Linked DNA regions of Cricetulus griseus. The protein of the gene in region 2 binds, or shares a complex with, the protein of the main gene of each other region. Links are inferred from orthologs where the notes say so. Each region holds a gene or a part of one and is shown on either strand. Other genes may lie near its edges.

Region 1 (3,651 bases), on a different chromosome or scaffold from region 2:
AATGCCCAAGAACAAAAAGTAAAAGTACAAGTAGGAGCCAGGCTGGAGCACGAGTGGCAGATGTCTGTGAGTTCAAGGCCAGCCTGGTCTACAGAGTGAGTTCCAGGACAACCAAGGCTACACAGCAAACAAAAATCATTAGTCCTCCTGGTATGGTGGTGCATGCCTGTAAGAGAGCAGATCTCAGAGCATTAAGGCTTTGGGGACAGCCTAGACTACATAATGAGTTCCAGGCTGGCTGGGACTATCTATCGGAACATGGCTGATACGCCAGGGGCCTCACTGTTAAATAAAACTGACTTTCCCTCCCCCAGAAGCCATCAGCCTGTCAGTTAGGGGCAGAGGCTCTTGAGCGCCTCTCTCCTCCATGCTAGAATGCTAGGGTCCTATTCAGGCAGCCACAGTTTCCGTGAGTTCATGAGTGCAGTGGTCGTATGTGTCCAGAGGACACTGTTTTGGTCAGTTCTTCCCTACCTCTGCTCTTACAGTCTTTCCATCCTTTTTTTTTTTTTTTTTTTTTTTTGCAATGGTCCCCAGCCTCGGTGAGAGGAGAGTGATAGAGATGGCCATTTGTGCTGAGCACTCACCCCATAGACACTAACTGACCACACTGACCAGCTTGAGTGTCTGTATTAGTCAGGACCCGGCACAGAGACTTCTCTGATGAGGGTGAGAGCACTAATCTCTCAGTGTGTGGGGGAAAGACACACATTTGGAGGGTGCTTTGATACTAGCGACATACCAAGTTTTCAAATATAAGCTGGGCAGTGGTGGCGCCACCTTTAATCCCAGCACTTGGGAGGCAGAGGCAGGCAGATCTCTGTGAGTTCAAGGCCAGCCTGGTCTACTGAGCGAGTTCCAGGACAGCCTCCAAAGAGGCTTACAGAGAAACCCTGTCTCAAAAAAAAAATTATATATATATATATATATATATATATATATATATATATATATCTCATAGGGCTGGAGTAGCAGTTAAGAGCACAGAGATCCCAGCACCTACATTGGGTGGGTCACAATTGTCTGTAATTCTAGCTCCAAGAGATCTGACAACTCGGGCCCCTGCAGGCACATGCACACACCCACTCCCACACCCCCATACACATAACTAAAATAAAAAATAAATAAATCTCTAAGCTGCAGAAACAGCTCAGTGGGTAAGAAAGTCTACTACTTTTGCAGAAGACTTTTTGGTTCCCAGCATCTACATTGGGTTGTTCACTATGGACTATAACTCCAACTCCAGGGGCTCTGGCACTGTCTTCTAGCCCTCCTTGGGCATTGCACATCTCACATACAGATACGTGTACACATAATTAAAAACCAACCTAAACGTCTGGGTGTGGTGGCACATACCTTTAATCCCAGCATTCTGGAGGCAGAGGCAGGTCAATCTCTATGAGTTCAAGGCCATCCTGATCTACAGAGTGGTTTTCAGGATAGCCAAGGTTACAGAGAGGACCCAGTCTCAAAACCATGCACAAAATAAACATAAACAAACAAAATCTAGTGGTACATGAATGGGGCCATGTTATTTTCTTATTTTTAGGTATGTTTGAAAATGGCCATAGATGTATGTATGTATGAGTTGCACTTATATGCATGGGATTTGCACATGGGGGAGAGCTGGCCAGGTCCAAGAGCATTGGGCATGCACATGTATTCATCTCCCCCTCAGGAGTGTCAAGGCCAGCCACATTCTGATTTCCATGGATGGGAAGGTCTACCTGTCTGGTCTACGCAGTAACCTCAGCATGATCAGCCACGGGCAGCGGCAGCGTGCGGTCCATGATTTTCCAAAATATAGCGTCAAGGTCCTGCCATGGCTCAGCCCAGAAGTCCTCCAGCAGGTCTGTGTCCTTGGGCCCAGGGAGGCCCAAGAATTTGCTGGGGTGGAGTTTCTCCCTGATTCTGGTAGAGTAAGAGGTTCTGGAGGAAGCATCCTGTTGGCCAGGTGTGTCTTAGCACCCACTCAGCATGGGCATTGCCTGCCTGCTGTGGATGTGTGAGGTCCCTAACTTGACACTAGTGTCTGTCTCAGGGACACTTCCCACCCTGTGGGTAGAGAGCATTCTGGAAATACTTGGTGCCAGCAGGTGCACCCATTCCAGTGTGCCTGCTCATTTCACAGCAGCGCCAACCGTTTGCTGTCCTCACATAGCAGTTGTCTGCAGCAGAAGGAGGAGCATGGTCAGCTCTGGATCCTGACTGGGATGGGCATTCATCGCCTCCTCAGTTTTTATTCCTTCTTATTTAAAGAAAGGCCAGGGCTGCAAATGGAGCCACCTTTGACTTTTTTCTTCTTTCTTAGAATCTTCAGGGTTATGATGCCAAGTCTGACATCTACAGTGTGGGGATCACAGCGTGTGAACTAGCTAATGGCCATGTCCCCTTCAAGGATATGCCTGCCACTCAGGTAAGTGCAGTCCTGTCTGCCTTCCACAAATGTCTGTTGCTTCCTGCCACACTGGGACTCTGACTACAGTTAATAACATGATGGTCTTTTTTCTTCAAGAAGTTTTCCACCCACTTGGTGGAGGGGTGTTTGTGCAATTCTTTGTTCCCTTCTCTGGTGATAAATATTGTGGTCACAGAGCCCAACCCATAGGGTGGGGCAAGTAGGACAGTGAGTGCCGACAGAGGCACATTAACACATGATACTGTATGGCTATGCAAACTGTATAAACTGCTGATCAATTTTGAACTTAGAGCAATCCTCCTGCCTCAGCTTCCAAGTTTTTTGATTATAGGCATGTACCACCATGCCCAGCTAAGCTGCCCGATCCTTATAAACTCATCAGCTATGTCCTATCTTTCTCCCTTGATAAGTACAAAAGATCAGCGTTCAGTTTCAAATCCCAGGCATCTCTGGTTGTGTGCACTGTGCTCTGAAACACACTGTAGAACCTGCATTCTGTAGACCCCTGAACATGCCTGCCTTTTGGCCACCGTTCAGGCCAGTGGCATAGCCTGCTCGTGGACTGGCAGACCTAGAGAAGAAACTTATTCAGGTCCTACCATACCCAGGAAATGGAGTTGGGATTGTCTGGGCAAGTGTTACTTGAATCTCAGGTGCCTGGAGCAAGATGTAGAACTAGGAGGAGGTAAAAACCTGTGAGCAGGCCTCCCTCCTCAGGCTCACACACTGCTCACCTTGGGGTCACAGGTTGAAGCTAGAGAATGATTGAGTCAGCAGGGACCAAAGGAACTTCTAGGGGGTGAAAATACTTTGTCTAAGACTTTAAAAGAAAAAAAAAAATTTGTGTGCACATGTGCCATTGCCTAAGGAGTTCAGAAGAGGGCATCAGAGCTCCTGGATCTGGCGTCACACACTTGAAAGCCACCCAACATGGATGCTAGGAACCAAACTCAGGTTCTCTGTAAGAGCAGCAAGCTTCCTTAACCACTGAGCCATCTCTGCAGCCCCTAGTCTAGCCTTAAAAGCTAATAGCAGTTGACTACATAAAGAGTGGGAATAGAAGCCTACTCTGGGCTGGAAGTGTAGCTCAGTGGTAGATGTCAGGCGTTTTCTTTTGGGTCACCAACCAGCTCCCAGGTTATGGCACAGAGACTTCTTATGATTTATGAATGTGTGGCCTTATATTAGCTGGTATTTTAATCTGTTCCGCTTTATGTACATTTTGTCTGAGC
Region 2 (3,651 bases):
GAACCCAGCCATGTTCAGAACTCCTGTAGCAAATGGAGTCTGTGAGTTCTGAAATGACACAGAGATCAAGGGAAAGACCATGTGCGCTCTAATGTGCAAGCAGCAGCTACGTTCTCCAACCTGGACTGAAAAACAAAAAGGTAAAATGAAAACCGTTCACTTAACAGCAGATTAGCAGTAATGTTCCTCATGAATCGATAAGAGTGCCTGATGCTGAGTAGCTAACAGCAAGTGCTGAAGTTGGAAGGGATATCATAGGCGTTTATTGGAAATTAGGCTTCTTGCTGAGCTGGTCTCTTCAAATCCCTGATCTGTTTGACTAAATAGGTCTTCTCATCATTGAACTGCTCGTCCTCCGTCCTGTCGTTCTGAAACTTGCTGAGGAACTCAATGAGTTTGGTCTGGTTCTTGAGGAGGATGTCTAGGATGGGCTGTGTCTTGTTGGGGTTGGCCACAAACACCTGCATAAGAGAAAACCGTGTAGGTCCGAGAAGCAGTCAACATCCACCCCACAAGCTCCTGGTTTTTGCTTTAGAAGAGCTTATTTTTACATGATATGGGGAAATAATAATGATCACATGCTTTAGCACAGAGATTGCCAACTCTGAAACATAGTAGTTAGAACTAAATACTGATACCACCCCACCCCAACCACACACATAGCCCTCCACTAAGCATCACAAAATACTCTGCCTGGGCCTGGCCCTCACTTCCTCACTCAATCGGCCGCAGAGAGACTTGGAATGGGAGGCCAGCCTAGATGGGCGGGGGAGGAGGGCAGCAAGGGAACCGCTGTCTCTGAATAACCTTGGGTGCATGCTGAAGATAATGAGGCTCCTCTCCGACTGTGCTTGCTTATTCTCAAGCCCAAATGGTCCGCCCATTTCCAGGTCCCTGCTTCCGTTCAAACATGCTGACTAAACTGAGTACCGTGTGGGTTACTGAAACCAGGCAGTATTAGTAACTGTAATGAACAGTTTTAGAGGAAAGCGCTGTTTGTCAGTGCAGCCCACCTTGAACACGTGAAAGGCCTCAAACTGGATGTTTCGGCTCTTGTCTCGGAGGAGGTTCATCATTAACTTGAGGTTCTCAGGTTTACTGATGTACTTCGTCATAATCGTGAAGTTGTGTCTATCTAACAGCAGTTCACCGAGAAGCTGAGGACACATTTAGACCATTGCATTATTATTAAGACTTCAGTAACAAACAACAACCCATCTTATAGTCATTGTGAGACTAGAGAGACTGGTTTGAAAGTGAACAAGACAATAAATAACCACTACCCAAGAAAGTGGCCAGAAGAAAGGGTACTGGGAATTTCTGTTCACTGATCTTAGCTTCCCCCTACCTGTTTTAAATTATATTGAGCAGGGCTTTCCAAGTTGAAGCGTGTTGTCTCCTAAACACATGCTCAGGTTTTCACACTCTCACACCTGCCTCACAAAGCAGTATGTTCAGAGGAGGTTCCTCAACACATTCCTGACTGTTAAGGAGCCACAGCATCGAGCTGAAACCACTTCTGCCTTGATATACCATATAAATGTACAATGTGCAGGTTTTCCTCCAAGTTGCTCTCATACTGAGCTCCAGCTGAGCCCCACTGTGTCAACCACATACATGTTAGCAGGCATCAACATCCTCCTTGTGAACAGCAAGGCAGACAGTAGGGCATGTCCTGTGCCAGCCTGCCTGGGTTCAGATATGTAACCCTAAGTGTTACTTGCTTTCTTTGTGAGTTAGTTTCACCATGTACACAATGAGGTCGAATAGTACTGAACTCTGGAGAATGCAGTGAGAAACTCAAGTGTGAGCGCCTGGGAATATAAGCACAGAACTGTGCCTGATAGGTGCTGGGTCCCAGCTGAGCTCTAGTATTTGACATTTCTAGGTAAACAGCTTCTCATCATACAAAAAACAAACTCCAAAAACCAAGACTCAAACCCTGTGGGGCTGCAGACCCGGCTCAGTGGTTAAGTAAGAATACTCGCTGTTCCTGCAGAGGTTCCTCTCACCCAGGTGGGCTGCTCATGACTGCAACCGAAGCTCCAGAAGGTTTCACTGCTCTCTTGGTCTCCTCCAGCACCCACACTCATATCCCCACCCCCAATCTGTTGTTCAGGAAAACAAATTGATTCTACCTGGGATTCATGCAGAATTTATAAAACTTTTGTTTCAGGCCAGCAAGACGGCTCAATGGGTAAAGGTGCATATCAAATCTGACAGCCTGAATTCAGTCCCCAGGACTCACATGGTGGAATGAGAGACCTGACTCCCCTAACTTGTTCTCTAACCTCCATATGCGCCCTATTCCCCACATAACATAAGTGCAATGTAATAATTCTTTTCTTTTCCCCCAAGACAGGGTTTCCAGTGAGTCCTGGAACTCACTCTGTAGACCAGGCTGGCCTCAACTCAGGAGATTTTCTTGCCTTTGCCTCCTGAGTTCTGGGATTAAAGGCATGCACTAGCAATGTGATAATTTTCATATTTAAAAACTAACTTCAGGCCTCATACCACTCTGAACATATAATTACTAATTTTCACGAAAAGAAGTGGCCTGCCTGTGTTCTAGGGAGACTCACAAGTGGGAGCTATGGGTGCAGCTCTCACTGTGCTCATCTCTATTAGAGAACTAAAAGCATTATGAAGAAAGACTGGCTTCAGCTGAGTTATCCAAAAGATGACTATGCAGAAGACGACTGGGAACTCAAAATCATTTGGACACTGAGAGTTAAGTTTTACTTGGGAATATAAAGTTGCTGCCAACAGGGAAATAATAGTGTTTCATCAATACAAAATCAGGTACTTTTGAGGAATTCTGAGCAAATGGAATTTAAAATACATCCAGCAAAACATTTAAATGAGATTCTACATCCTTGCAACTCCACCTCCAGTTCCCTGACAGAATTGAATGTGTTGCTACATATTTAATAATCACCATAAGAACATACAGAGGCCAGCAGTTGTTCTGTAAAAGGTCAGACAACACACATTTTAAACTTGGTAGGCCATATGGTCTCTGTGACAACCACTCAAACCTGCTGTTACAGTTTCAAACAGCCAAACATGATGCATAAATGTCTTGTATTCCTATAAAAATGTATTTACAAAACCAATCATTTGGCTGAGTTTGGATTCTAGGCTGTGGTTTGCCAGTTGCATGTGTGTGGTTTACATGCATGCTCATGTGTATATACGCACATGGATGGATAGGTAGGTAGGGGTGTGTGTGTGCGCGCGCGCATGCACCAATTTGTTTAGGCTGAAGATCAATACTTGTCTCTTCCTTAGCCACTTTCCCACTTGCCATATTGAAGCAGAAAGTCTGATGGTTTAATGTAGCAAGCCAGCTTAACCCTAGGATCCTGTCTCCACCACCCAAGCACAGGCTGATTGCCACAGCTGCCCAGCATTCACTGTGCGTGCTGGGTACTAGGCCCACTGAGCTACATCTCCAACTTCTTAGTTTGCCAACATTTGTTGAAGACTTCCAGTCTTACATTTAGCATGTTTAAGGTTCAAATGGGATTGTCCATATCCTGTGTTGATATAAAGCTATGGCATTTCAGTTTCACTGCTCACATGTTGGCCCCCAACCTGCCAATCTATACATTTGGTATACACCCACAATGCTTTATCTGGCTGGCATGA

The links.
Region 1: the proteins of Cab39 (region 2) and Strada are in contact, whole or in part, in a crystal structure (PDB 3GNI), measured with the Homo sapiens proteins. The link is inferred for Cricetulus griseus from reciprocal best matches to the Homo sapiens genes CAB39 and STRADA. Residues at the interface, in NP_001124321.1 of Homo sapiens: Leu26, Glu27, Lys28, Gln29, Tyr55, Gly56, Thr57, Asn58, Ala85, Asp86, Gln88, Leu89, Phe92, Glu93, Lys96, Arg107, Glu138, Leu141, Ile145, Ser176, Thr177, Phe178, Asp179, Ser182, Asp183, Glu221, Asn222, Tyr223, Val224, Arg227; in NP_001003787.1 of Homo sapiens: Pro64, Leu104, Glu105, Cys107, Ser108, Asn109, Val112, Gln116, Leu119, His120, Lys123, Leu124, Phe125, Asn126, Thr136, Phe137, Ile138, Asp140, Asn141, Leu143, Tyr185, Met189, His223, Gly224, Arg226, Val426, Asp427, Asp428, Trp429, Glu430.

The regions. Positions count from the first base shown.
Region 1 is NC_048600.1:119,104,931-119,108,581, reverse strand, and holds part of Strada (STE20-related kinase adapter protein alpha), read left to right. Parts: intron 1-1,678; coding exon 1,679-1,850; intron 1,851-2,311; coding exon 2,312-2,416; intron 2,417-3,651. UniProt on the Homo sapiens protein: Pseudokinase which, in complex with CAB39/MO25 (CAB39/MO25alpha or CAB39L/MO25beta), binds to and activates STK11/LKB1.
Region 2 is NC_048595.1:437,538,308-437,541,958, reverse strand, and holds part of Cab39 (calcium-binding protein 39), read right to left. Parts: intron 1,158-3,651; coding exon 1,014-1,157; intron 462-1,013; coding exon 273-461; 3' UTR 1-272. UniProt on the Homo sapiens protein: Component of a complex that binds and activates STK11/LKB1. In the complex, required to stabilize the interaction between CAB39/MO25 (CAB39/MO25alpha or CAB39L/MO25beta) and STK11/LKB1.